Linked DNA regions of Mus musculus: all the other regions are reported to be linked to region 1. The links are microRNA targets in miRTarBase. Many come from high-throughput screens and were not tested one by one. Region 1 holds a microRNA gene; each other region holds the end of a gene's coding sequence.

Region 1 (4,066 bases):
CTCAAACACGCGAGTGACCCTTCACAGGCCTAAGAAACGGGAAGGAAAAGATGAAAGGACCTCGAACCCCTTCCTTCCACCCAATGAGTCCCTGAGAAGGAGGCACAGAGACAGCTGCTTTCCTGCCACCGCGTTTAATTTTGTCTAACATTCCAAGGCAATGCAGTGAAAAACTCTCCATCTACCGTATGGAAGCCACACCTTGCCCCTCCCCAGACCCAGGAGGTTCTCCTTTGTATCACTGAATTTATTTTTACTTTTACACAAGTCACCTTTTTGTTGTTAAGATAATTTTGCTAAGCAAAGGGTGTGGGGGGGGGGGAGGAACGGCTGGTAGGCACAAAGATGGAAAAAGATTTCTATTATCACAAGGGGGCTGGGCAGGTTCTGGATAGAGGCTGAGAGACCAATCTTATAAATAACTAAGGCAAGAGGCTCTTGGGATTGAACTGGGCCAAGATGGAGGTAAGGTGACCTAGGTAGTGCCCACCTCTGCACTTCTGCGCTGTGTGTGCTACTCCCTAAGGAGTAGGCCCTCACCCCCCAGATCTGCTTCCTTAATATGTTCAAGGAAAAGAAAGCGGGTCAAGTCAGGATGGTAGCACTAATCCTTCCCAGTCAATCTGCTAAAGCATGTATACACTGATATGTGCCTTAAAGAACCCCAAAAGACCCCAAGCCTTAAGGTATGTGAACTGACTTTGGATCCTTTCTTCCCTACACTTGATAGGGTCCATAGCTGGGTCTACATCCACCACGCGGGAGCCCTAATGGTTTCCTAAGTTGCAGGGGGCCCCAAACTTCAAGATAAGGAAAGAGTAAAGGGAGTGGCAGGAAGGAGAGGGACCTGAAGGCAGAGAAACCTCAAAGGGACCTTCCGCTCCTTGTGGGGCTAAGAACCACGGACACAGAACATTGGCACGCCCCACTCGCAGCGCCCAGCTAAGAGGGACCTGGAGCTTGAGTGGCCGGTGTGCAGCATTGGGTTGCCATGGGAACGGAATTCAGATTTTTTCCCCCAATTGCTTTTTTATTTGCTAGACATTGTAATACATCTTATGTTGCCATTTATTGGGGCGGGAAGGAGAGGAGCTCCAGAGAGCCTGGCTTCCCCCTTAACCAGTTGGGGAAGTTGGGGAGGCTCCGGCCCCAGCCGTCCGACCAGAACTATAGAGGTTTAGAGGATCTGGGCTACGTCTCTCCCGCCCAGCAGCCTGCTCTTGGTTTGTATGCAGGGCAGGGCCGGTCGGTCGGGGCGGGAGGCCCCCCGCCTAGGCCCCTTGCCATTGAGTACACTCCCCGCCAGTTCTGCTCCGCTTCACGCTGCACACAGACCCCCCAACTGCACACAAAGGCAGCTGCCAGAGCCGGTGAAAAGTGATCAAATTATCAAGAACTTGACCTCACCGAGGGGCGAAGCTCCAGCAACCCCCCAGCCGTATGCTAATGGTGCTCAGGGGCTGACTCGTCGAATAATTCGATAAAGGCTGCATTGTTAGCGGCAGGGCAGCCCCCTGCCCACCCTTTTACTCCCCCTACACACTGCCTACCGGTCTCTCTCTCTCTCTCCTCTCTCTCTCTCTCTCTCTCTCTCTCTCTCTCTCTCTCTCTCTCTCTCTCTCTCCCCCTTCCTCTCTCTCTCCCTTCCTCTCTCCCTTCCTCTCTCCGTTCTCTTTCTCATCGCATTTGCATCCCAAAATCCTAGTCTGCAGCTCAGGGCGTGGATTGTTCTAGCCTGATTTATGGGGTGAAGGCAAAGGCTGGCGCCTTCCCCGCCAGCGACCCCTCTGCAACCCCAGCCCGTTCCCTGCCCCCAACCCACTCCACTTCGGGGTTCCAGCCTCGGCGCTGGGAAATGGTGATGGGGGTGCAGGGACCGAGGAGGAGGTGAAGGGAATGCCTCCAGGACACGGCAAGTGTCCCCAGGAGAGCCGAGGTCGGATACCTGGTCCCGGCGTGGCCGCTCCGTCGAGCTGGAATCCCTGGGTGGCGTGGGCTTCTCTGGGCTCCTCTGGCTCCTGTGGCCAGGGCGGCCGGCCGGGCCATCGCACGCAGAAGTTGTGAGAGTCATTTCTACTTTCGGTTATCTAGCTTTATGACGGCTCTGTGGCACTCATACAGCTAGATAACCAAAGAGAGAAACGGGCCTCCCATTCGCCGGCACCGCTGCCGCGCTGTGGGCCCCACGTGCCGCCGCCGACCCGGCGCGGGGGCCTGAGCGGACTCCGCTCCCGCAGCCCCGGGCGCACGCGGAGAGCCAGAGGGGACCGACAGACACACAGACACACGGACTCCCGCCACCCGGATCGCCCAGCTCCCTTCCTCCCTCGCCCTCGCGATTTCTCCATCCCCAGTTCCCCGTCCAGTGCGTGCGCGGCCCGCTTCGACGCCGTCCCGGGGCGCACTCGGGTAACCGGCGCTCTGCGCTTGGGCAGCCTCGGGCGCCCTGGCGGCCCCCAGCGCACTGGACCATCAGCCCTCCTCTCGCAGGCTAATCGCCCCGCGGGGAAGTGACGTCAGTCGGGGGATCGGCCTATCACGGGCTTCCATTCAAATCCCAGCCCCCTTCCCGCGCTCGGCACCACCCAGCCTTACAATGGCCTCGGCGTTCACGGCTTCTGCGCCGCGAGGACAGGGGAGCGCCTCTTCTGCCCTCAGAAGCCTTAGGCCTGCTTGCTTGGATGCACACAGTCTGGCCTTTCTCTCAAACCTCTCTGACCTCCCAGCAACGTCTTAGGTGCCTGGCAGCCACCGCAGACCACCAGAGTTAGAGTTTGAGGGAAGAGGTTTAAGGTCGAGGTCTCTCCAAGGCAACCAAGTGAGCGCAGGAGAGGCTGCGAACCGGTCACTTTATCCTTAAGGTCTCTCTTCCTTTTTTTTCTTGCCCAGCACTGTACAGACACCGCGGTAGAGACTGGGGATTAAGGGAAGGAGTGGGTGTCTAGATCAATGTATCCCATATATATTGCCTGACTTGTAGGGATTCCCATGGCATGCTTCGCTCAAACCAGGTCCTAAATGTCGGCACCAGATTGTTAGCCCTTTCCCTCTGACCATTCCTAGTACAGCCAAGGATATGTAATCAATTGTGCCCCTGCGCCTTAAAGATATCCAAGGCCGTAATTGGGCTCCTATTCACCTCCCATAAAAATAATCAGCTCCTGCCATCTTTCTGCTCACAGCACACCCTAGCCCACTTACTCCAAGTGACTTTACAGGGCAAAAGAATTGACATTTTGAGGTTTCACAGTAGAATTGAGCCTGGCCACCAAACTGAAGTCCCGTCTCAGTCTCCTAAACGTGGTGGTTTAGAGGTTGCTCACCTGAAACCCATCCTGTCTTCCTTGCTCCTGTACACCCCTCCCACTATGAGCCCTGATTCACCCCCTTCACCCATTCCTGGGAGGCAAAGGATTAAATATGAAAAATTCGATATCTCCTTCCCCCCCCCCCAGTCATCCCTAGAAAGATCTTAAATCCAAGATCTAGAGATTGACTTAACAATAGAGTGGGGGTGGGGGGTAGCGGGTTCCAGGATTCCAGCAGTGACTATGAGGGAGTCCCAAAGACTCTCTGTGCTAAGGCATCCCCAAAGCAGCCCAGATTTGGTGGGGGTACTCATTCAGATCTGTTTTGGTGAGGCGGGGGGGGGGGCACCCCTTACACACTCTCCATCAGCAAATCCCATAAGGCTGGGTTCAAAGAATAGGCCCAAAGTGGGTGATTTGGAAGGGATCAGGGAATTTTTCTAAAGGTATCTAAAGCAGTCTCCCTTAAATGACACATCTGGATTTTTTTTGTTTAATACCAGGCTTTGGCACCACACCTCTGTACCCCGTGCTTGTTTTAGATTCGTCCTATTTTTTATCTTGACCCCAAATCCAAGGTGGGCTGCATCCCCACTGCCATCCCTGTCAGCCAGTGAGCAAGCCAGCTAGCAGTTACACACCTCTTTCCAAATGCCACCTCACAGACAAATCCTTGTCTCAGAAAAAGGACACAGGCTAGACTGAAAAGCATCAGAGAAACAGAGGGGCCGACCTACCGACAGCAAGGCCCAGGAAGG
Region 2 (4,066 bases), not on the chromosome of region 1:
TAGTTAACTGCTACTTGAAATATTTGTAGCATTTTCCTTTAAATATATTTTCTACTCTACATGAGTGTTTTAAGGCCATAGATGGAAAACTACTCTTCCTTGTTCTTAGCTGAAGATAATCAATACAATGGAAGTTAAAGATCATTAAATTCTAATTACATAATACCCTTACTAAAAACAAACCTGCCTCCATTTATTATTAACCTGGGATTTGGACAGGCTAACACATCGGGGGCTCTGACGGATGGAAAGAGCCTTCTCCTTATTATTTCAGTGCCGGCCTATCTTTGATTAACACTGCCTTTGAAAACCTCGTTCCCTTCTTTTTGTGTCTGACTGGCTAGATCTAGACAAACAGAACAATCATGCTATTTATAGGAGGTAGGTGGTGGCTCTCTCTGCACACACCCAAGAAGTGGTTAGAATACACAAATGTGGACATGACAAAAAATCTACAATGAGTGTATGGAAGGAAAACCGCCTTGAATAAGCGAGCACTTAATACTAACGTGTTGCTGCAGAGGGCTTCTGCTTTGGAGGCTTGACCCTGTTCTGGCTGAAAGGATGCTTGATAAAGTCGGTATATAATGGGCAGTCAAGTGGATGTTAAGTCAAAGAATGCCAAGGACATTCACAAGGCTCCTAGCTGGTACTGTGCTGAGCATCCCAGGTGGGGAGTGCTGGAGAGGTTGTGGGAAACAAGATTGGGAGAGAAACTGGAAGGAAGGAATAGGTAAATTGCTGTGTGCCTGTGCAGCAGCTCGAGTATTGGGGACACAGGGTCTGTGAAACCAGTAGGTTTGTCTCACCAACACTATGACCCTTGAATAGCTTCAAAACTGTAAATTGTCCTCCAGTTTAAAATTTTTCATGAGATCCCTGACTCCACTCCCCTTCTTATTCAATCATTATGAACATAATTTATTCACAGCCTAAGGAAAGATGAACTGTATCAAGTTCGGGTGGCACACACCCAATCCCAGCACCTACCTATCAAGCCCCAGTACAGCCAAGGTTCCATGGTGAGACCTGATTTCAAAACGAGCTATTTATTTTCAATAAAATAAACCGTCCTCTTTGCTGGAGTGACACCCCTGTTCCCATTAATGTATGGCTGATATTTTGAGAAAAGCACTTTCATACTGAGGATACCATTTATGAACTTTGCCAGTTCCCCGGTAATTAAGGAGAATTCCTAAAACCCGTAAAATTCGACAACCAGGCTGCTCAACAAAGCTCTTTTGTTCCTTCCTGCCACGTGGAGGGACAGTTCCTTTGCTGTTCATCTGTCATCCGTGATTTGCTGCTGCACGGTGAGACAAGGTCTTACTGACTCTGGAGTTCTGGGATCACAGGTGTGGTATGCCATACGGAGAGGAAAAAATGGGGATTTTTACTATGGAACAATAGGTGGGAACTCACTCTATTACTAGTGTTTGTAAACTAGCTCTAGTCTTTCAGAGTCGGCTGGCGTGGACCTGCATTCTCAGTAGCCTGAAGGTAGGAGGGAATGTAGCTGAGCTGTGGTTACCCAGGCCTTCTGCAAGGTTTCCAGGTCCATATGTCACCATCATTCTCATTTGCACATCCCCATGTTGGCAATACCAAATCTTCAAGTCCATTATACCAGAAAGTGTAATTTTTTTATCTTTTCTGACACTAAGGCCATTTATTAAATATGGCCAAGAAAGTACATCCTGAACCAGAGGGAGATGCACACATTTAATTCCCTGAGTCTCAAACCTAAAATTTAATTTAACCAATAGAAACATTTACACACACACACACACACACACACTCAGCGAACACTTTGTTGAGCTATGTATTGACACAGGAGTCAAGATTTCCTGTGTTCACTGAGTGGAACAGCACTGTAGAACACTTCTAAAAACAAGCCACAGCCTTCCTTTCTGCCTCTTGTTAACTCGGTCATCTCTTGGGGACAAGGTGTGTATCCAGGTCCCTTGGGTCCTCCATCCTCTCAGCAGGTGGCAGGTGGGAGAGCCCAGACCTGCCTGTAGCTAATGACAGACTGTGCTTGCCTTTCAGGTCCAGTATTTCTTCAAGATCTTGGATAATTAGCTCTCCAGAGTAAAGACGACACAGACTGAGACGCCCAGACAATCGAGTCACACACGTGAGGAATGTGTTCATTCTTTTATTGTCCGTTGTGTTAACCTGACTGACACAAGATCAACAAGAGCACTGTACTCCTGGCAATTATTACATATGCTAGAACATGGATTTGCACTGTAGACAACACTTAACACCAGTCTATGGGGTACTGCATTGCTTTTTATAAAGTTCAAAATAAAGATTTTTATTTTCAAACAAGTGACTTTGGTTTTATTTCATACATTACACTTTTTCTTGCAGAAAAAAATAAAATTGTACAACTGCATAAATATAAAATTCTTCCACCATGAAAATGGTCAAAACATTCATAAGGACGCAGCACCAGCGCATGATGCCTCCAGAGAAAGGAAAGAAGGAAAGGAAATGGACGAATAAGCAAACTACCCAGCCCATCACTAGCCACAGTGACAGGCAGATCCCAGTCTCAGACACAGCTGCAGAACACACTGGAGGACACGGGGAGAGATGGCGAGACAGCATTCAGCACGGAGCACAACACAACCCATCACCTTGATTTTTCTGTACTGTCACTTAAAATTTAAAGGGCAGTTCCCCCATGACAGCCCACCCCCCAGCCCCAGGAAATAAAGAAAAAAAAAAAATAATAATAAAGACCTGATACCACAGGAAGAGACTATGGAGTGTGTTAAAAATGCTCATCGATGGGCCGTTACCTTTGAAATTTCAGAGCCAAGAAAATAAGAAAGAAAGGAAAAAGTACCATGCCAGTTTTATTCCCGTTGAGTATTTACACCTTGGACAGCAAACCTTGCTCACGTAAAGTAGAAAACAGATATGATAAAACATGGCTTGAAAAATGACCAGAGTGCGCACCTATAGTACTGTACACTAAATAAAATAGACAAGGCGGCAATACTTAGGGGCCAGAACACTGCTCACTACAAGTCAGTTACGGAATCTAATTTACAGTAAAAATGGGCACGTCCCAAGGCTCAATTTTTATTTTTCTTTTGTCATTTACAGTAGAATAAATATTTTGTTGCTATTGCTACACTTTAAATTTACATTCTAACCTATTAAATGCAGAAGCTAGTGTAAAGCATAGAGATTAAGTGTAGGTCCCATACGTATGACAGTTTGTTCAAGACTAGTAGGTTTGTGTATCTTTTTTTAACTTATTAAATGGCTAGTGGGAAAGATTTGTGCTTGTGATCAGCTCTTAATTTCAATTTTTACATCAAAGCGTCCCTGAAAACGGTCTTTCTCACTGTACCCAATGTTCTCACCATACGCCTTACACTCGACGCGGATTTCAGTGTCCACGGTGAGGTTGGTGAACTGCACGGCCAGCAGGGGCTGCAGGTACTTGGGCTGCAGGAGTTTGCCGTAGTAGGGATAATACTGCAGAGGGAAGCCGTAGTATCCGCCCATCCCAAAGTACTCTATGTTCCCGACTTTATCCTTATCTTCATCTCTCTGGAAACCAAAAGGACATGAAATTTAATTTTAAGGGCATACACGCATCATGGGTCTCGTCTTGCTCTAACGAACGAGACTCTCAACCCCATCAGAGGCTGCAGTGGCGTGCCTACCTCAAACCTCTCAGAAGCTAAGCCTATCAAGCAGTGGGTGGCGTGGATTGGTGACACCACAGGATAAAGGTCGGTTCTGGCCGAAAGCAGCCAAGAAGCATTCACGAAAGGGGGCTCTGCAAATGGAGACACTGAGGCAGAGACCAAGTAAGTGATTCTCTAAGCTGGCTCAGCCTCGCAGGAAGGCCAACAGTGAGAGGAACCCCTGGCTTTTGGACAGTGTTCAGCGACATTCTCTCCGAAGACTTACATATGTGTCCTTTATTTCTTACATCCATCTCTTGGCTTGGTACTGTAGCACTCATTTTTAGCATTCATTAAGAGTGAAAAAAGAAAGTTGGCCTCAGAATTTAACACATGCCGTGGGCTAGCTCACC
Region 3 (4,066 bases), not on the chromosome of region 1:
AACACCCCTTGGCTCCCCTTCATTTATTGGGTTCTCTTGGAAAGCAGGTGGCCACGCTTCATGCCTGTCTGTTTGGAGCAGGAGAGGGAACACTTCGAGCCTGCAGAGCAGGACAACCAGGGGTGGGCTCTGGCCATGCAGTATGGAATTCCCAAATAGGCCCTGCTAAGCTGAGCTTCAGAGCATCATTGACTACCACTGGATGGATCACCTGTTGCAGGCCCCAGCCAGTGCCTCATCAGCCTCTCCCCAGGGCTGCCTCTGCTGAAGCCCAGACCCTGAGAGAGGACAGGATAAACATGGCTGAGTAACAGTGGGGCCATGAGCACAAGGAAGCCTTCTCTGAGGAGGCTAATAAAAGGACTGAGTTTTGAAAGTTGAGTTCACCAGCAGATGTCACAGGTATTCCAGGAGAAACACTCTAGGAGCCACTGGGCCGAATTTGAGGTACTCGAAGGAATCAGGGTTACAGAGCCTTAAGCTGGGTCAGAAAGGGTCATGCAAGGTCCACTAGGGATCCACTAGGGATCCCGGAGCAGTGGTTCCTCCATGTGGCCTAGCTTTTCCTGGTTGAACATATTTTCTTATTACTGGGATAAAATACAGACCAACAAAACAAACAAAACTCACGTAAGAATTTTGGCTCTGGTTCAGGGGATCCGGTACCTGCTGGTGGGAGCAGATACATTGTATCCAGTCTGGGAGCAGAAAAATCCTTGCTGGGGCTTAGTTATTTTCAGTCTCTCTCTTTTCTCTCTCTCTCTCTCTCTCTCTCTCTCCCTCTCTCTCTCTCTCTCTCTCTCTCTCTTTCTTGTTTGTTTTTTCAAGACAGGGTTTCTCCTGTGCAGCCCTGGCTGCCCTGGAACTCACTCTGTAGACCAGGCTGGCCTCGAAATCCTCCTGCCTCTGCCTCCCAAGTGCTGGGATTAAAGGCGTGCGCCACTACACCCAGCTCGCACTCTCTCTCTCTCTCTCTCTCTCTCTCTCTCTCTTTTTTACTCACTATGGGGCTCTAAGGAATGATGCCACTCATAATCTTCCATTGGTTAAACCACTTTGGAACCCCTCACAAGGATTCGAGTTGACAGCGAAGCCTAATCATCATAGGGGCGGTGGTGAGCAGCCTCACGGGGCAGTGAGGAAGGTGGGAGGGAAGGCCCGGGTCACTGGGCAGGTGTCTTCAGGCCCTTGGGATCTGACTCTGTGGTTGACAGATGTTTAAAGAGAGAGTGGTAAGGAAGGTCTAGGTGTCAGCTTTTTGGTTGCAAATAGGCAGACTAGTGCCGAAGGAAGCTGTAGCAGCCGTCCTGGAGGGAGGACCTTGTGAAAGACTGGTTGCACATTGCTGGTAAGGGAGAAGAGGTAGTATCCACAGTGGTGACGATGTTTCCGGCTGGAGCCACTGGAGGGTAACAGCTGAGACCGAGAGGAAGGAGGAGGAACAGCCTGGGTTGACTGTGGTCACTTGGAACAGGGTGAGTTTGGGAGACATCAGAGTAGAACTGTCCAATGGCTAGCGCCCAGGGGACAGAAGTCTGGGCTAAAGACAAAGATTTAGGATGGATGAACCATTAACATGGTGAGGTCATTCAGGGAGTGTGGGAAGGACTAAAAGAAGGCTTCCGGGGGTCACCAGAGGCCACTGCAGGCCAGAAAGCCAAGAACAAGACACTGCCTAAACTGAGGCTGAGAATCTGAACTGCACCACTACAGGATGCCTTCAGCTTCAAGCCTTATCATTCAAAGGGGTCCCGGCTCCCAGCCCCGGCTCCAGGGCAAGGTCGCCTGGATCTGATTCCAAAACAGCCAAGGTCAGATGGGCTCCGCCCCATCTGGAGCTGAGTTTAGCTGGGTCCTTAGGTTTTATACACCCTCGCTTCAGGCCCGCCTCTGCGCCCGCCCTCTAAGCATGTGCACCTAGTGTTTGTGTTAGGAGACTTTCTTCCATTTCCCCAACATTTGCAGCTCGACCGCATCTTCTCCTGCAGGGACAATCTATCAGGCTCTGCACAAGAGCCTATTCCCAAGGGTCTGGAACTATTGCAGCTCGCTCACTATACACTTACAGATCTCTCAGCATAGGGGTTTCCCCACCGCTTAGCTGCGCCTCCCCGTGCTGAGTGCGCGCAGGGCGGGCGCATGCGCACCCGAGAAGACTGCCCCCTTTAGCTGCTAGGCTTGTGCAAGACAAAACCGGAAGTATGTCCAGCTTTAGCACAAGAGCTACGCCTGGCCTTTGTTTAGGTCTCCAAGGCTGGGCAAAGGTTCTAGGTATCCTCCTGGTACAGAATATCAAAAGTCCTAGGGCAGACCGGTTTTTGTATTGTTTTCTGAGACAAGGTCTCCCGGAGTAGACCTTGCTGGCCTTTAACTCACCCTTCCTGCCTTTGCCTCTGGAGGGCTGGGAGCAAAGGCATGTACCAGCACAGCAGGCTTTTTGGGAGCGGGGATGTGAACAGCTGTTTTAAGACAGTGTGGCACCAGGCCGGTCTCAAATCCAGTAAGCTCAAGATGACCTTGATCACTAGGGATGCAAAATGGCTGTTTTGTTTCAGCCTGAGCTAATGGAAAAACCTGGCAACTGCTGTGCAGAGTTCTTCATCACTTCCAGGATGGTCCCACCATCACCTCCCCACCAGGCTGTTCCATGTCTCTGCTGACCTAACTCCTGGAGCAAGAGGGATCTACGTTATGTGAAGGAACCCCACTCCTATTGAACCTTTTGTAGTGGAAGCCCTGTCCTAGTTGCTGTAACATTTGCCAATAGGAATCAAGAGTTTGCAGGAGGCATCCTCCAGTCCCAGACCCCTGGATGACGGTACACAGTCAATTCTTTCACCATCAGACAACCTGAAGTGGGCAACACAGTGTGCTCAGTGTTTGCTGAAAGACAGCTACTCTCTGGCCAGCGTGATAAGACATTTATTAGTTCAGAGCTAGAAAGAGCAAGAGTCCAATAGCTTTTTCAGTAAAGGCTGTCTTGTGGCTGAGCATCTAGCCTGCCCTCCTGACTCTACAGTTTGCCCTGCTATTAAGGCACTTGAAAAAAGGGGGAGCAGGGATGTCTCAGACTAAACTCCCCCCGATTCTGAAGGCGGCCAGCAACATCCCACCTGTTCCCCTTGGCCACAGCTCAGCATGGAGAGCTGGCAGGGCAGGAGCTCCACAGGACAGAAGAGCGGCCCCTCATGTGCTGGTGTCGGGCAGCACCACGTAGGAGCTGCTCTTGGGAGCACTGCTTTGGATCAAGGTGTACAGGAATCCGCGTGGAGGAAGACACTTGATAGTAAGGCTATATGGCCTAAGGCCATGGCTCCAGTCTGTCCCTCTCTAGGAGAGTGCTAGAAGCTGGAGATGGAAGCAGGATCTCAGAGTTCCCTACCGAAGCAGGAGCTATCAACACAGGGATGCACCGAGTCCTCCCAGCTCCGTCTCCAGGAGGTTAATGCTCCTGCGAAAGCACCTCCGAAAGCGAGATAAAGAGTAAAACGTGCCGCCCCAGAGAGATCACCCAAACAAGTCGGGGGCAGCTGGAGCACACTCCCCAGAATGTGTACGCACTTCGGGAAGGCTTCAGTGCCCTGAAACCTGGTGCTCTGAGCAGGGTCGCTGTCAGCACCTTAGGAGCTGATCTGACTCAAAAGAGCAGAGAAGTCCATGTCCGCAATGGAGGAGAAGTCTTCATCTCCTGAGAGACCATTGGGAAGCCCCGAGGTCCCCAGGGGTGTGGGAGCTGGGTCAGGGGGCCTCTGGGACCCTGTCACCAGGCGAGTTATAGCTTCAGGGTACTCCATCAGCATGGGCTCAGCTGTGGAGTGAGACATGGACACACCCTGGTTCAGGAGCTGCTGAAACTCTGAGTTGTCCACAGATGCCAGGTCTGTGAACACTCCTGGGTCTGTGCTGTTGCCAAGCAAGGCCCCCAAGTCTTCATCAGCATCAAACTGCAGGTGCAGCAGGGCTTCCGACAGCGTGCCTTCCCCAGCCTGGGTGCTCTTTGGAACAGGTGCAGACAGGGACTGGGGAGGACCCGGGGTTAGAACTGGGGCAGGAGCTGGGGGCTGAG
Region 4 (4,066 bases), not on the chromosome of region 1:
ATAGCTAAACTGTTTTTCCTTCTTGATACCTTTGGAGAATTTGGTAATTTTACCTCATTTCATAGCATAGTATTAACCGAGGCATACAGTTGATCTACAGCTGTGTGGTACACTCAGGTTAAGTTTGGTTTTGTTATCAAGAAGACTCTAAAAGGCACCAAGTTGAGTGAAGTATTAACTTAGAGACTAGCGTTACAGATGAAGAACATGTGTTGAGTATTTCTGTGCCCCTTTATGTTCAGTTTGTTGGGATCACATACTCGGCATTTTCTTCCCACTAGGAGGCCGCTCACGATACCGGACTACTTCTTCAGCCAACAATCCCAATCTGATGTATCAGGACGAGTGTGACCGGAGGCTTCGAGGGGTCAAGGATGGTGGCCGGAGAGATTCTACAAGCTACAGGGATCGTAGTGAAACCGATAGAGCCAGTTATGCTAATGGCAGTGGCTATGGAAGCCCAAATTCTGCCTTTGGGGCACAAGCAGGCCAATACACCTATGCTCAAGGCACCTATGGGGCAGCTGCCTATGGCACCAGTGGCTACACGGCGCAGGAGTATGCTGCTGGCACTTACGGGGCGAGCAGCACTGCCTCAGCAGGGAGGAGCTCTCAGAGCTCCAGCCAGCAGTTTAGTGGGATAGGCCGATCTGGGCAGCAGCCACAGCCACTGATGTCACAGCAGTTTGCACAGCCTCCAGGAGCTACCAATATGATAGGCTACATGGGGCAGACTGCTTACCAGTACCCTCCCCCTCCCCCTCCCCCTCCTCCATCTCGCAAATGAAACTGCATGGCAGGAGTGACTCGTGCAGATGAATTACACATCTAAAGGAACACTGTCTTTTACCCTTCTAGACCTTTTCATTTTTATTTTTTCTTTTCTCAACCATTACGGTTTATCTTTTTTTAATGCAGATAGTTAAAATTTCACTGCCAGGTTTCTTCTGCCCACCCAAAAGATCCAGTCTATAATTACAGATTTTGTAAGAAAAAATATATATACACATAACTGACTGGAAAGAATTAATTTCTTTCCCCCAGCTTAATGCATGTTGAGGATATTGAGCTATTTTTCATCTTAAAGGTATTAGGCACTTTTGTTGGAGCCTGTTTATCCATGGGAGGGTGGGTAGGGAAGGAGGGACTGCTCTGCAGGAAGTGGTATCTGTTCTTTAGACTGCTCTCCTTAGGGAGGAGCCAAGAGGGATTTCCATGCACACTGCCCATGGTGGGTTTAAGTTACTGAAGTTCGATTACTCAGGCCTGATGAATTTTTAAGACTGCTTTGTTGGTCATTTGGCTGATGGCTTCTTATGTGCATTCAACAGTTAAAAATTCCTAATCGATTCTGTCATCATGCCCCCTCCCCACTTGTTCCTGCAGTTATTAAATATTAACCAGGTTAGTGTTGAGTTAGAAATTACATTTCTGAGTTCAAGCGTTGTCTTTTTAAGTTTAAAAAACTATAAAGGGTTGTTTTTACTAGGTAGACTGGCATCTGGGTAGAGGCTGCCTGGGATTTTTATCCCCACATAACCAGGGGCCATCTGAAAGTCATTTTCTAGCCAGATCAGCCACTGAGCGGTAAGCATCAGCGCTCAGCAGAGCCTTCCGAGCAGCATTTAGAAAGCACCTTTGGGAATGATGGACTGCAAGGGAGTGGGCGGATCTTCCTCTTAAACAGTATTCTTAGAGTAGGATTGACCTCATGGGCTGCTCTGCCCACTTGGTCAGGCTCTCCTGAGCAGGACTGCTAAAGAGCTTGCCTCCTCAAAGCCTGGTCTCTGAGGTGCTTTCTAACAGCTGGAGGCACTTGTTCTGGGCTTTCCTTTGCCCTCAGTTTTTCACAGGTAGGTAGTAGCCATGGAGGGCTGAAGCCCAGGCTCTCCTTACTCTCTGGAGTGTGAAGGTAGGGGTGAGCTCGTCTCACCCCTTTATTAAATGCTCCTGGAACTTGGAAGAGCAGCAGATGAAGTTGGAAAGAAAATTCTGCTCTTATCACCTAAACAGGACAGGAGAGCAGATGCCCCAGCGCCTCTAGTAGATGGTAGTGGTGGGGCTAGTGTGTGGCTGTTACCTGGGCCGCTCAAATTCATTCCAGGGAGGAGGCTCCACTGCATTCTTTGGCTGTGCCCTGAGGGTGCCTGCTCCTTTGTACGGTAACAGTCAATTTTGAGGTTTCTTTCAGGAAGAGAAAGGGATGGTTTTGAGGGGCTCAGAAAATAGGATTCAGTGTGTAACATAACAGGTAGGTTGTCAGCATGCTTGGCATTCTTCTGTTTTCCTTACCGTTTTACAGACTATGAAGCTGAGGGGGGATGGTAGGCACAGATGTGTGGCAACCCTGCTCTGTGCTCTGAAACCAAAGTGTGTCCTGTCTTGTCTGTCTCTCACCCTGCCAAAAGCAAGTGTCTAATCACTGATGCTGACCAGCCTGTTACAGATACTTTCTACAACCAAATTCAGATTTATTTTTTATTAAGCATTATACCATGGGCTGTCCTGTGCTCCTGTCACTCTTCAAAAACACCCCTTCTATTACTGCCTCCGGGGATGAAGCAGTAGCTAGGTTGCTTAACCTCCCCTCTCCAGCAGAGGCATAATCCAGATAAGTAGCAGATGTCATATTTCATAAGCTCTTTTGGCCTGGGTACAGCAGAAAACTAGCAGTTTTCCTACTTGGCGCAAGTGACTTGTGCCTCCTTGTCTGTCCTTTGTCAGCACAGGTGCAGGCAAACCCTTCCAGCTGGGTTAATTGCCGTTTATGGTTTACTCACTTAGGGAAAGGGCTTAGGTGTTAGGCTGTGGGCTGCTTCTCCCTAACCATCCATTGTGCAGACTTCTCATCTAAAAAGGTTGGTGGCTTTTGCTTGGGATCAGTGCTCTGCTAACGCCCTTGCTGGTCTCTCCACACATTCCTGTCATTGAGACTTGAATTGTAGGTGTGATGTTATGCACAGGATGCTCAGAGCTATGTTACTACTATTCTTAGTTTGTAAATTGTCCTTTTGATACCATCTTGTTTTCTTTTGTAGGTATAAATAAATACTTGACAATAAAGGTGTGAATTTTTTATTACATTAAAACTTAAAAAGAGTTTAAGTGTACTCTTAATGTTTTCCTCCAAGCAGTGAAAACATTAAGCAGGGTGAGTGTATTAGGCATTCTATTTAGCACCTCAGGCTGGGAGGGGAAGGCTACATTGGTGGTTCTTAGCACAGAATGGATTTACACAGTGGCCATGGTGTCCATCTCAGCTAACAAGTGAGCTAAGCAGTCCTAAGCACTTGGCAGAGCTGGTTATTTGGACTGCTTACAGCTTGCAGGCCAGGTGGACATGTGGCTCGAGTTCAGCACGCTGACCTAGGGAGGTTCTCTGAATGGATCTTCCCAGCCCTGGGCATGAGTTGTATAGTCCTAAGGAAGCAAGGAGTTGAGCCACTCACGGAGGTATCTACTGCTTCTCTTCACTTGGCACTTGTAGGGCACCATCCTTGGGCAGATGGGCTAGGTATCCCATTCTATCCATGGTGGATTAGGGAGGTGCTGCCGTTTATCCCAAGATGGTGCTTTGCTCAAATTCACACCAGTCACTCTAACATGAAGTCCCAAGTCTTGGCTTGAAGTCATGAAGCAGTGATCCGGATGGTTTGCTTTAGCTGCCATAGGGGTGGCCCTTCTCTTCAAACTGGCACCGGGAGGCTTAATTTCTTTCCTTTAAGGACTAAGGAAAAAAAGATAAAATTTTACTATGTGTTGTACTTAAAGAAGAATTCCTGCCCCCCTCCCTCCACTTTAGCTGGCCTTGAACTGGAGATCGCCTGCCTTTGCCTCCCTTGTTACTTGTTGCGGGTCACCCGTGGGGTTTATGCTGTTTCCCCCCACTTTGGTTACTGGTGTTCTTACATCATTTTAGATGAGTATGTCTACTCCATTCCCATAGCCTGTGTCTATCCATCCCAACCCTGTTTTTAAACTGCCCTGATTAGTCTCTGCATGGTGGCTGCTGGGCATGGTGACACAATAACAAACCCCATAACCTAGATCCCTGGGGTTCTGTGTG
Region 5 (4,066 bases), not on the chromosome of region 1:
CAGGCAGGATTGCTGGCTCCTGTGAACACTTAATCAAGGCTACTTACTTCTTAGCAGCGTGATGAGCAATGAATGACCTTCAGAGGGAACTTTGGGGAAAGTCCAGAGTAGAAATGGGGTCCAGCTCGGGTTCTGTGAGAGGAGCTCCCGGCAGTGGTGAGGGGCGGCTCCACAGATCAGAGCTTTGGCCGCAGAAGCATGGGAGCTGAGTTCAAATGCCCAGCACGACATAAAAAGCTGAGTGTGACAGGCCCACGCCTGTAGCATCAGCTCTTCAGTGGGGGAGACAGGATTGTTTCTGGGGGTTGCTGGTTGCAGCCTCATCTCAGGGGAATAAGGTGGAGGGGTTGGTAGAGCTGAAGAGCCAATGTCCTTTGTCCTCTGGCCTATGTGCATATAACACACACACACACACACACACACACACACACACACACACACATGCCATCACCACCAATAAACAAAAAACAAAATAGGTAAAAGCTGCAGGTACCTGTAGCCTGAGACTTTCATTCAGAGCTTCCTCTTTAAAAAAAAAAAAAAGATTTTATGTAAATGAGTATCTTTCCAGCCCAATAGCTCCCTCTTTAAAAAAAAAAAAAGATTCATAGCCAGGTGTGATAGTACACACCTTTAGTCTCAGCATTAAGAAGGCAAAGGTTAGGCTGGAGAGATGGCTCAGCGAGTAAGAGCACTGACTGATCTTCCGAAGGTCCTGAGTTCAAATCCCAGCAACCACACGGTGGCTCACAATCACCTGTAATGGGATCTGATGCCCTCTTCTGGTGCATCTGAAGACAGCTACGGTGTACTTACATATAATAAATAAATCTTTAAAAGAAGGCAAAGGTTATTAGCCTAGTCTATAGAGAAAGTTCTAAGACAGTTGGGGATGTCTGTCTCAAATAAAGCAAAAACAGTTAAAGAGATATTTTATGCTGGACGTGGTGGTGCACGCCTTTAATCCCAGCACTCGGGAGGCAGAGGCAGGCAGATTTGAGTTCAAGGCCAACCTGGTCTACAGAGTGAGTTCCAGGACAGCCAGGGCTATACAGAGAAACCATGTCTCAAAAAAAAAAATTATGCTCAGCATGGTGGCTTTTAGTCCCAGTGCTTGGAATATAGAGGCAGGCAGATCTCAATGAGCCCTAGGCTAGCCTGGTCTACAACTTGGGAGGTCAGCCAAGGCCACATAATGAGATCTGTGAGTGTACGTTTTCCTTTGTGTGTGTGCATCATACATGGTGGCCAGAAGAGGGCATCAGAATCGTGGAACTGAAATGCCAGATGCTTGTGAGCCACCACGCAAGGGCTGGGAATCGAACCCAGGTCCTCAGCAAAAGCAGTAGTGCTCTAGACTACTGAGCCATCTCTACAGCCCCAAGATTTGCTTTTTAGTTTCTCTCTCGGTCTCTCTGTGTGTATATCATGCACATGTGGTTGTCCTTGAAGGTCAGAAGGGCAATCCCCCCCCCCCCATGATGGAGCTGCAGGTGATTATGAAGCTTGCTATGAGAGCTCGGAACGGAACTTAGGTCCTCTGGAAGAGCAAGTACTCACCTGCTGAGCTACCTTGCCATCTGCCTCATAACCCCTTGCTCATTTCTCACTGAAATCCAACACAGCTTTTGGAGGAGCCTCTTGGAATCCCCCTCCCGCGCCCCCTTCCCCCACCCCCCACGAGACCTCCGCGGAGGGGACATGCACAGTGGCTAGTCCTCAGAGGTTACCAAGTTAAGTGACTCAGCTGCACATCTTAAGGGAAGTGGTTTATTTCTGGGGGAGGGCGAACATGGATCAAGAAGAGGTTTGCCCACCCGACTCTTGTAGAACCCGGAGGAGTTTTAGTTTAATGTACATGCATTAAAAAGTCCTTCAGCTGCTGCAGAGGAGACATCAGGAGCAAGGCCTGAGGTCAAAGCTCCGAGTCTGCACAGGACACAGGCATACAAAGGTCGCTCACAGTATGCACAGGTTAATATGAGACACAGTGACGCCGGTGGCTTGGCTGGGAGCTGCCAGTACAATGACAATGTGGCTCTTCTGAAATGGACACATCCCTGTCCCGCACCATCAGTAGGGCCTCGCTTGGCTGCACAAGGCCACGGGGCTTCGGTGTGTAGTGTACTCTGGGTTGGTCAGAGGTTGGAAGCACCAAAGACCCCTAACCTGTCCCTTGGCAGGCAGGACAGGGGTTATTATTTTCTCCTGGCCAGAAGTGGCTGTTCCTCAGAATGAAGTCCCTCGGCCTTCTTAGCTATCATGTCTTTCCCTTTACAAGGCTCCAGATGTCCTTCTCTAGCCGTGTGGGGTAGAATGTCTCACTGATATCTTATTAAAAAAAAAAAAAAAAAGCCAAAAGACCAGGATGTGGCATCATGGCGCACCCTTTAATCCTGGCACTCTCAAGGCAGAGGCAGGTGATCTCTGAATTTGAGGTTAGTCTGGTCTATAGAATGAGTTCAAGGACAAGCTAGGGCTACACAGAGAAACCCTGTCTCAAAAAAAAAAAAAAAAAAAAAAAAATCAAAGCAAATCTGCTCCTGGCCTGGTGTGGTGTGGTAGCACACGCCTTTGAGCCCAGTACTCTGCAGACAGAGGCAGGCAGATCTCTATGAGTTCTAGGCCAGGGCCAGTCAGGGTATATAAGGAGACCGCAGCAAAACAAAACCCCAAAAACCCCACAGCTCACTCCTTGGCCTCTCCTCCAGATCTGTAAGATGGCTTGTGTGAGAGCCACAGTAGAACATCGGGTATAAAACCCAACCGAGCCTGAGTCTATTGCAAGTATTGGCCGTGCCTGCGGGAGGCGTGAGTCTTTGGATCATCAACCTGTTTTAAAACACTGGGAACCTGTTCAGGTGCTTTCAAAGTGTCTGTTCATACCTGAGACTGTCCCCACCTGCAGCTGACACCTGGTTCCAGAATGGGGTTGGCTGGTGGAGGTTAGAGAATTGTGCCCATGGCTGCCAGGCTGCAGTGCCCAGCTTGAAGCCACCCATCCCCTCTGGGGAGATCTCTTGATGCTGTCCTTCTGGCATCTAGGCAGAGTCCCTGTGGTCCCAGAACGTAGATCCTGGACCAGGTGTTCTCCTAACACACCTCCAATTGCCACCGCCTAGAAACCAAGGACCAAGTAACTGGAGGGTGTGGCCTGGACTTAGTTAGGGCCACGCTAACAAGAGGCAGGAGCCCAATGGAAGGGCCTTTAGAGAAAAGGGCTCTCAGGCTGGTGGTCCCCTCCTCAATTACCATTTTTCATCTGCTGAGGGTGGGACTTAAGGTGGGCTGAAGCGGGCAGCTGCCTCAGGGACAACAGCTGAGTCCTGGGGGAGTTAAGGCCGGAGAGGCTGGTCCAGTCACAGGCCTCACGTCCACCTGTGGCTTTGGTCAGGAGTCCCAGCTGTGTCTCTGCAGCCACAGGAGCCTGTTCGTGTCCAGGAACCTTCGGTTTCTATTCCAGAAACACAGCTGGGTTCTGCATCTGCTGAGAACCGAGCTGGCAGAAGAGGCAGGTACACTGAAAGCCCCTAGGACGGGAACTCGTAGTGTCTCAGGTGTTCATCCGCCACGGACATGTAGGTGGGTCTCATGCTGGGAGAGTACTGTGAGGAGAGAGGAGGAGGGACAGTCTCAAGAGGGCACAGTTTGCTACCTGGTCACCCTGACATTACACAGCCCATTTTCCCCTCTCGGTAAGCTGGTTCCACACCCATAAATTCAACTAACTTTGGATCAAAGGTACTAAAAAAAAATGCCTGTATTGCATTATGTTCTTGTGTGTGTGTGTTTTCTTCTTTTGTTTCTGTTATCTATTTAGACAGGGTCTTACTTTGTAGTCCAGGGTTCCCTGTGTAGCCAGGCTGGACTCCGACTCAAAAGGACCTTTGGGTCTCAGCCTTCAGAGAACTGGGGTTGTATGTTCCTGTCACCACACCCAGGGGCAATGAACCCAACCGAGATCCTGAACATAGAGGAGGATGTGTGCATGAAGAACAGCAGCACATCGTTGCACATAACGAGCTGGAGCATCCTCAGAGTGTGGCACTCTTGGGATTCCTGGGAC
Region 6 (4,066 bases), not on the chromosome of region 1:
TTTCACAGGTAAATTGCTTGATATAACTGGAGAATATAAATACCTGTACATAGCCAGCGGAACAGTCGTGTTAGTATCAGGTACTTACCTCCTGATTGGCAATGCTATAAACTATAGACTTCTCGACAAGGAAAGGAAGAGAGAGAAGGCAAAGAAGAAGAAGTCAGCTTCACACGCGTCCAGAGAAATGGAGGCCCTGAACAGATCTAAACAGGACGAAGTTACTGTCAAAGCTTCAAACGCACACAATCCTCCCTCAGACAGGGACAAAGAGAGTAATATTTAACAAGTCTCATCGCCGAATCAGTGTTCATGAATTTAATCATGAGTTTCTTTGTGTGTGTGTGTGTGTTTTTTTCCAAAGAATTGCAAAGGATTTTAGCTGCAACAAAAACATCGCAAACAGTAACAAAACTGGCATCTTCCTCAATGCCATAGTATAAATTCATGCTTTAACATTTGTTGGGATGGTCAACTCTTGAGATGGTGCACGTAGAAAACCCACGCACTTGCTCATCTGCGCACCTGAGTTGTGATGAAAACAACTAATTTTTTAAATCTTCCACCGATTTTTACTTTTAGCTGCAGAATTAGATCTGCATTCCAGACCTTGGCTCACCTAAGCACAATTCAACATTAATTTCACAAAATGACTCTCTTGAAGGTTCATTTTTTTTTCATTTGATATTAAGTCATGAAGTGAATTGAGGACAATCATTTTTTTCTTTTCAACACACAAAGAATTACACATGTATCTACGAAAACACTGAGTATCGGGAGATCATAAAGAAATAAATGGATTTGAAAAAATTATTATCATAGTCATTCTTAAGTCAAAGGAAAACTCTGGGAAGCAGGAATATGTTATATTTGCGTACAGTTTTGCAGTGTGGATTAAAATTAACTGTACGGTGGAAAAAAAATCAGTGTTATTAGCTCAAAGAAGGCTAAAGGGAAAAAAATCTACATGGATAAGTTTGGTTAAAAACAAAACAGAACTAGTTTTTCACCATCAATCTGCCATACTTGTGCCAGTTTAATCTGCACACCTGTCTACACAGTTTCTTTGAGAGGTCACAATTAGGGCTGGGTGCTAGACAATAGAACCCCTCCATTAATTTCCAGAATTCATATCTAACACATAACTTGATTTAAAATGCAGAGACACTGAAAAATCGGATGAATCCATGCTTTAGAAGCCTGCTAAGCAATGATGTACATCTTTCGATGACTTTTTAAAATGGGGGCTTAATGCAGATTTAATGGGGTGCTGAACTATCCAAGCCAAATAAATGAGAAGAGCTGACATATTCAAGTAGACTAGATTCTGTTTTTCCCTCCAGCACAAAGTAGTGACATAAGCTTGATCTCATGAGTAATTCATAGGTGTGGAACTGACAAGACCAGGGGTCATTCCTGAGCCCTGCTAACAGGGACTTATAATTTATAATTCTTTACTACAATAAGCAAAAGCAAAAACCAAACCCAGACCTTGAATTCCATCCCAGAAGACATCTCTTGTTATACAAGGAGGGGAAACACTTGAAAATTCCGCCCTCTACTGATTGGACTACCCACGACTGAGAATAGAACAGAAAAGCTGGAGTGTGTCCCCAGGACACTTCTGGCAACATAAGCTGTGGGGACTGACAGACATGTAGTTTATAACACAGTAGCAACATGGCAGAGAATTGTTGTTCAGGGTACTTTAGGAGTTTGCTCATTTTCCAAACCTAAAGTGTCTAGAAATCAATCTCATTCTTACAACACTCTTTGAGAGGTCTGTGACCTCCTATTGTGTACATAACAGCTAAAACTAAATATTATATGTCTCATGTCTTGTTTTATTTTCTGATAAATAGGGAGAATTTTGTGCTTTATTATTGAAGTCACTTTTACAATGTCTCTTCTTCTTCTTCTTCTTCTTCTTCTTCTTCTTCTTTTTCTTCTTCTTCCTCTCCTCCTCCTCCTCCTTCTTCTTTTCCTTCTTCTTCTTCTCCTCCTCCTCCTCCTCTTCCCTCCTTCTCCTTTCCTTTCAATAGAAGTGGGTGCTATTCTTATTTCTTAGGATCTATTTAGACACCACATTTTCAGGGTATTGTTAAAGTTTTGATTTGCCCATAACAATTATACACTACTTCATACAGGTGATTTTATAGGTTCATATTTAGGGAGCAAAGTAAGATTTGGATTTTCTTCATTTTTCAATTTTTCAATTTTCAATTGCTTTCTTGAATATGAAGTTTCTAATTTTCAGCTATTCAATAAAAACAAGATGTGCCAATATTGTAGAGAAATTAAGCAGGGCAATATGTGGCTCGATATGAATTTAAAGAAAAGTTAGCCCCACCCAGTCTTTTTTTTTTTTATAGTCCTGGCTGTCCTGGAACTCACTTTGTAGACTAGGCTGGCCTCAAACTCAGAAATCTGCCTGCCTTTGCCTCCAGAATGCTGGGACTAAAGGCATGCGATGCCACCACGCCCGGCTTCTGAATTACCTTCTTTATATGATTCCTACCTTCGTGTTCACTCCTGTGTGTCCAAAGAAGTCATCCTAGTCAACCATAAATGCTTCTGATAAGAATTTCTTGCACTCTTTGAAAATACCTTTAGAAACTAATATAGCTATCAGACAACAGGAGGAGAGAGGCAGAAAGGCAGTAAGCTTGGGAACTGTAGTCGAAGTCCCTGTGGACCACCACCAGTGTGAGGAGATGCTGTCAGTAGACTCCAGCGCCTGCCTTTCTCCCTGGGAAGTGATGTCACATGCTGATGCATCAAATCAAAACCAAAATGTACTCCTCTCCTTGCTTTTCAGTCATCTTGATTTGCTTAATTTGTCTTGGTCATTGCATTGATATTTTTTAAGAGGGTGGAAAGATTGTAAAGCACACAATCTGTTGTGTAGAGTCATGCTACAAACATGACATGATAAGTGTGTACATCTGTAATGAATAGGTCCTAGGTTAAGCCGTGTCTCACTCGAATCAGCAACAAAACCATAATAGAAAAGAATCCATTTGTTTGCTTGTATTTGTCCACTGCACCTGTTGAAATATTTGCTGCTTTAATGAAGCCTTTCAAAGACCGAGGAAAGACTACTGACCTAACGTGTGTGTCCCTAATTACCCAAGTAGAGGGGAAAAAAAAACCAAACCTGGTTTGCAACTTTAATACTGAATACCTCCCTGCCACCAAGGAACAACAGATTTTAGATGTTTAAGATAAGAAACTAGCTTGGTACCATTAAAATGCCCACTATGTCCTACTGATCACTTCAAAGTTAAAGGAACTAGAGTACTCACAAGTTACAATCAGTAGCTAGCTTACATATTTTGTCATTTGTTGTTAAACATCCCATATTTTTTGCTATTTAACTATTATCACCCATAGACAGATAAATGGGTATGAACTTGTCTTGGCCTAGTCATTTCAGCTTCTTTTTGAAGAGGCAATGGGCTAGATAGTAACAGTAAAGATATGATGTTTTTAGTGTAAATTCACATGGCTCACAGACTTCCCCTTTCTGTTCTGTTCCAACCATCTTCCCTCACAGGGTCACATGCTCCACCCAGACAGCAGGAAATAAGTAAAACAGTTCAATTTGGTAAATTCAAAAGTATGCTGTAAAGACGTAGCCTCTCAACTCGCTGCCTCTATCCCTACAACCTGACAATACGAAAAATTAGAAATGTAATGGTAGATGTTCTAAGTAGTTGAAATTACATTTATCCAAAGAATGTTTTATAAAGAAAAACTCATACATAATTTCTAACCTTTAATAAAATAAAATAGCCAAAAGTTTGGCTCAATTTACTGGGAGAATGCAAATTAGAGTAGGGGCTAAGAGGTCTGTGGCATGCATTTTGCCTACGTAATGACTTTTAATATTTAAAACAAAGCCATACTAGAAGTAATTAACTTGATGCAAGAGAATCTCTCTCTCTCTCTCTCTCTCTCTCTCTCTCTCTCTCTCTCTCTCTCACACACACACACACACAGAGAGAGAGAGAGGAGGAGGAGAGAGGAAAGACTATGCGTGCAGGCTCAGGAAATTGATGTTAAA
Region 7 (4,066 bases), not on the chromosome of region 1:
TCTCCACTTAGCCTCCATCCTTCCCACCAACTTCCATTTTTGAAAGTCTTTCATTAAATCTGGAGCTCAAGGATTGAGGTAGGCTTTATGGCCAGTTCATTCCATGGAGCTTTCTGCCTTCTGTCTGAGCCCGTTGTGGGCTTTTATCAGGGTGCTAAGCATCTGAATCCAGTCCACTGCTTGTGCGTTGGTACTTTACCTACTGAGCTATTTTTAGGTAGTTGGAAAAGATACATTTTTTACCTAGTGCGTGTACACATGCATGGGAGCAGATAAGTAAAGAAGAAGCAGTAGGTTCTCACCATCAGCCATGTGGGGTTCAGGGGCTGCGCTCAGATTGTCCAGCTTAGCAGCAAGGGGCATTACCAGTGTGCTGCCGCATCAGGCAATGCCAGTATCATTTCCTGAGCATTTCTTGTATAATACTGAACGTTTGCTTATTTCAGCTGTTTCTCTAGAAAACATTCTGTTCTAAAATTAGTGGAATGGAGTTTATGAACATAAATTTTTTTGTGTTTTTCATTTTTAGGGAGGCAGCAAGAGAATGTCGTAGAAAGAAGAAAGAATATGTGAAATGTTTAGAGAACAGAGTGGCAGTGCTTGAAAACCAAAACAAAACATTGATTGAGGAGCTAAAAGCACTTAAGGACCTTTACTGCCACAAATCAGATTAATTTGGGATTTAAGTTCTCTCCTGTTACGGTGGAGAATGGACTGGCTTGGCCACAACCAGAAAGACAAGTAAACATTTATTTTCTAAACATTTCTTTTTTTCTATGCGCAAAACTGCCTGAAAGCAACTACAGAATTTCATTCATTTCTGCTTTTGCATTAAACTGTGAATGTTCCAAAAACTACTTCCACTTCTGCCCTCAAGAAATGTGCAGCGCCAGGAATCATGAAGAGACTTCTGCCCTCCGTCTCCACCACCCTCAAGAAGTAATCATTTGCTTATTTGTAAATTGTTGGGGGAAATGAGGAAAATGAAATCTTGGCTTTCTTATTTTTGTTTTAGGTTTGTTTTGTTTGTTTTCTTATTAATGACTTCAAGGTTTGTTGAGCTCCATGATTGCCTTAGGGACAGTTACCCAGCCTGCTGAGCTGACGTAATGTGTGGGCCACACAGGAAAGTAAGGAAGGTGCAATGAAGAAGTGTTGACTGCCAAATTAATGTTTTTACACTTTCATTGTGAATTATGTCGAACTATTAAAAACATCCTTTAAATAAGGATATTAGTGTGGTGTTGGGAGTAAACTTTATATGTATGTTCCTTTCTTCAGCACTGACAAGTTGTCCTTGGTGCTGAGAAGCACGGTATTGGCTACAGTTCCTCTGTAGGGCAGTTGTTGCTTCTTCATTCAGTTCTGTGTGTTCAGCAGTTTGAATACATTAACAGAAGTAACCAACTGAATGGAAAGCATGGTTTTGAATTTTGAGTTAAGTTAAAATCATACTATAAAGCTTATTCTGGTGAGTACTAAGTCTTAATGAGTAGGTGCTGGCCAGGAAGCTAACTCCTTGAGTTATACAATAAGGTGTTTAATAAATAAAGACTTTTGTCCTTGCTTTCCGAATCCTCATACTGTCACTCATTTACCTAGTCCACTGCTGCATTTACACTGTGCAGCCAACAGGAGCGTTTTCAAGATGTCCAGCCAAAGTGATGGAAAGTACTAAATAGACAACCTTTTCTATAGTCATATTTTTATCAGAGAATCTCTTGGGATTTTTTTTTTTAAATCAAAGAAGTTACAAGGATGTGATTCTAAAACATTGTGTTAAATGCACACAAGAAAAGTAATTTCCTTCAGACATTGGAGTGTGTGCTATGGTACAATATTTGGCAAACACTTTTTTTTTTCTCCTAAAAAAGGTGGTACTGCTTTAACTATCCAAAAGCTGTTCTGTTTCTGAAGATGTTTCTACTTACATCCTTACCTATAGTCTACATTTATGTGTAACATTGTTTCTGATAAGACTTAGTAATAACTCATTTTTTTTTTATTAAACCTAATAAAATCTAAGAGTTACCTCTTTAAAAGACAAATATGAGGACAGTGGAGGCTGGCATGTTAGGTTACTTCACGTTTGAGGAAGAACTCAGACTCAGAAGAGTGTCTTATATTTGCTTTGGGATATTAAGAAAGTTAATATTAATATCAGTATACGTATGAGCGGGAACTGTTTGGCCCATTTCTAAGCTAAGACTAGGTTGCTATCTGTAAATGTTCTACGTTGTTTATAACAAACCATTGTCTTTTTTCAAGGATGAACAGTTTGTGAAGGACATGATTCTAGGAGTTGAGTGATGTAATAATCCTTCTGTCTGGACAGTTCACCAGATTCTCCAGAAGGCTTTCAAACGGCTAAAGTTTGATCTTTGTCCTGCTGAGCTTGCTGGGAAGGAGATAGCATAAAAGCTGTCTGTGCTAGCAAGTAGATGTATCATTTGCTAAACGTGGTGAAACAAAAAGGAAGCAGAATCACAAATCTGTCAACAAACTGGAATTACTTCACATTAAGTCAGAATGTCAGATTGAACATTTTAAATGTCACAAGTGGAAAATTTGCCTAGCGTGCAGAAGTTGTAATCTCTAAGTGTCTATCTTCAAAAGTCGAGGTTTTCTACATAATGAGGAAACAGGTGGTCTCCTTAACCCTTTAGAGACCAAGGCAGTCTCAGCCATACTTCCTAGTTGGATGGATATTAATTTACAGAGGCCTGGGTCTTTATGCTTGGAGCATGACTGTACTAGTTTGACACCAGTTACTTGATAATGTGAGAAATATATGGTGTTGTGAAACCTGACTTTGAAATTTCAGTTCATACAGAAAGAAATCAAAGCCTCTTTAATGCAAGCTGGATTTTTTTTTTAACATGAGAATGAGAAAAACAAAAACAAAAACTTGTTTTTGAGCTATGTGGAGAATCTTTATTAAGAAAATGACATAATTTTTTAAAAACTCTTATATCCAAAATTGTATGTGGCCACATTATCGGTAATGTTTTCTCTTCATGTTGGCCAAAAGGGAATGGAACTGTCATAGGAATCTGTACATATGCTACTGATTTGCCTAGAGAATAGAAGTTTGGTACTGCTCACTTTGCATATATATAGTGGCACTTTTATCTATAGGGCAGATTAACTCTAATAAAAATGAAATGGGGATAGGTTTATTTTTGATATATTACTCTTCTGAGTTTTCAAGCTTTGATAGTGTTTAACTGAAAAATGGTTTAGAAAGGGCTAGATCCAATATGTTCATATTTAAAAAATTGATATGAGATACAATTTAAGTTCTTTATCAAAAGCAAGTACCATATTAGCAACCATCATATTGTCCTAGGTGCTGTGCTTGTTTAGATGGTATAGTGTGGGTGGGGACGTGGCATTTTGTAATATATGTGTACATATATACATACATACAGTATATCATCTAAATGCTCTGAGAGCTGGTATGTCAGGAATGCTGAGTATTATAGCGTATTGAGGTCCGGTGAGATTCCACTTTGCTGTGCTTTCTCCTGCATCTCTTCTGGTGTTTCAGTGACTGTTTTACTCCAGCACTCACAACTGGGTTTTCTCTTTTCTTCCAGTTTTTTATTAGGTTTTTGTTTTGTTTGGCTTGATGCTTTTGAGTATGTTACCAGTCACTTAAAAACTCCTAAACCCCAAGCTCTTTTCCCCCTGCTTTGTTTCTGGCAGCTATAAAATTGGTAAGAACATTTTGAAAAAAGGTTTTAAGAGAATTGTTTCAAGAATCATTTTGGGCAAAGACTTTTCATGTTTCATTTGAACAGGGATTTTTGTCAAGATGTGTTTTGATGGTAGGCCAGCAAGCAGTGCTACTGTCTAAAGCACAAACCAGTCAGGCAGGCTGTCCAGCCAGAAGCCCTCTTGGCTGAAGCCGGTCTCTGCCTCTCAGGACTCCTCCCTACTATTTTCGACCATTTAGGGTGACATGGAATCATACAAATATTGGGGCTTAGAAACAAACATTTATATAACCCGGAATGCTTTTACGTACTTGAAGTGACTTCAGTCAAAATGTTGCCTTTCCTGT

Evidence for each region. The annotated mature microRNA mmu-miR-9-5p reads UCUUUGGUUAUCUAGCUGUAUGA and lies in region 1 at 2,114-2,136, opposite strand. An mRNA with a match to its seed (bases 2 to 7 or 8) in the 3' UTR can be bound and repressed. Matches are read on the target gene's strand: a 7mer-m8 pairs with bases 2 to 8, a 7mer-A1 pairs with bases 2 to 7 and ends in A, and an 8mer does both.
Region 2: miRTarBase lists Atp1b1 as a target of mmu-miR-9-5p. Seed matches in the 3' UTR shown: 7mer-m8 at 2,339-2,345.
Region 3: the mRNA of Rela is a reported target of mmu-miR-9-5p. The part of its 3' UTR that is shown has no 7-base or 8-base seed match.
Region 4: the mRNA of Ddx17 is a reported target of mmu-miR-9-5p. Seed matches in the 3' UTR shown: 7mer-m8 at 2,365-2,371.
Region 5: miRTarBase lists Ttyh2 as a target of mmu-miR-9-5p. Seed matches in the 3' UTR shown: 7mer-m8 at 3,385-3,391 and 7mer-A1 at 2,817-2,823.
Region 6: miRTarBase lists Slc16a7 as a target of mmu-miR-9-5p. Seed matches in the 3' UTR shown: 7mer-A1 at 359-365, 7mer-A1 at 2,541-2,547 and 7mer-A1 at 3,733-3,739.
Region 7: miRTarBase lists Creb1 as a target of mmu-miR-9-5p. The part of its 3' UTR that is shown has no 7-base or 8-base seed match.

Annotation. Positions count from the first base shown.
Region 1 is chr7:79,503,349-79,507,414 of GRCm38, reverse strand. Mir9-3 (microRNA 9-3) reads right to left here and starts at 2,151; the gene lies at 2,062-2,151. All of the region lies in intron 1 of Mir9-3hg (Mir9-3 host gene), which reads right to left. It overlaps Gm51285 (predicted gene, 51285), which reads left to right and starts at 2,079; the gene lies at 2,079-2,136.
Region 2 is chr1:164,434,967-164,439,032 of GRCm38, forward strand. Atp1b1 (ATPase, Na+/K+ transporting, beta 1 polypeptide) reads right to left here. Exons shown (of 6, transcript NM_009721.6): 6 at 2,133-3,573. The coding sequence ends at 3,310. It overlaps Nme7 (NME/NM23 family member 7), which reads left to right. Exons shown (of 14, transcript NM_138314.4): 14 at 2,050-2,334. The coding sequence ends at 2,082. Among named protein-coding and RNA genes, the nearest start is that of Gm39690, 18 kb to the left of the region's middle.
Region 3 is chr19:5,646,971-5,651,036 of GRCm38, reverse strand. It overlaps Rela (v-rel reticuloendotheliosis viral oncogene homolog A (avian)), which reads right to left. Exons shown (of 11, transcript NM_009045.5): 11 at 2,903-4,066. The coding sequence ends at 3,621. Among named protein-coding and RNA genes, the nearest start is that of Rela, 11 kb to the right of the region's middle.
Region 4 is chr15:79,526,733-79,530,798 of GRCm38, reverse strand. It overlaps Ddx17 (DEAD box helicase 17), which reads left to right. Exons shown (of 13, transcript NM_001040187.1): 13 at 282-3,103. The coding sequence ends at 787. Kdelr3 (KDEL (Lys-Asp-Glu-Leu) endoplasmic reticulum protein retention receptor 3) reads right to left here. Exons shown (of 5, transcript NM_134090.2): 5 at 3,060-3,727. The coding sequence ends at 3,687. Among named protein-coding and RNA genes, the nearest start is that of Kdelr3, 12 kb to the right of the region's middle.
Region 5 is chr11:114,718,668-114,722,733 of GRCm38, reverse strand. Ttyh2 (tweety family member 2) reads right to left here. Exons shown (of 14, transcript NM_053273.2): 14 at 1,750-3,605. The coding sequence ends at 3,531. It also overlaps a transcript of Dnaic2 not described here. Among named protein-coding and RNA genes, the nearest start is that of Dnaic2, 6.7 kb to the left of the region's middle.
Region 6 is chr10:125,224,232-125,228,297 of GRCm38, reverse strand. It overlaps Slc16a7 (solute carrier family 16 (monocarboxylic acid transporters), member 7), which reads left to right. Exons shown (of 6, transcript NM_001358915.1): 6 at 9-4,066. The coding sequence ends at 286. Among named protein-coding and RNA genes, the nearest start is that of Gm46205, 65 kb to the right of the region's middle.
Region 7 is chr1:64,596,705-64,600,770 of GRCm38, forward strand. Creb1 (cAMP responsive element binding protein 1) reads left to right here. Exons shown (of 9, transcript NM_009952.2): 9 at 530-4,066. The coding sequence ends at 674. Among named protein-coding and RNA genes, the nearest start is that of Mettl21a, 19 kb to the right of the region's middle.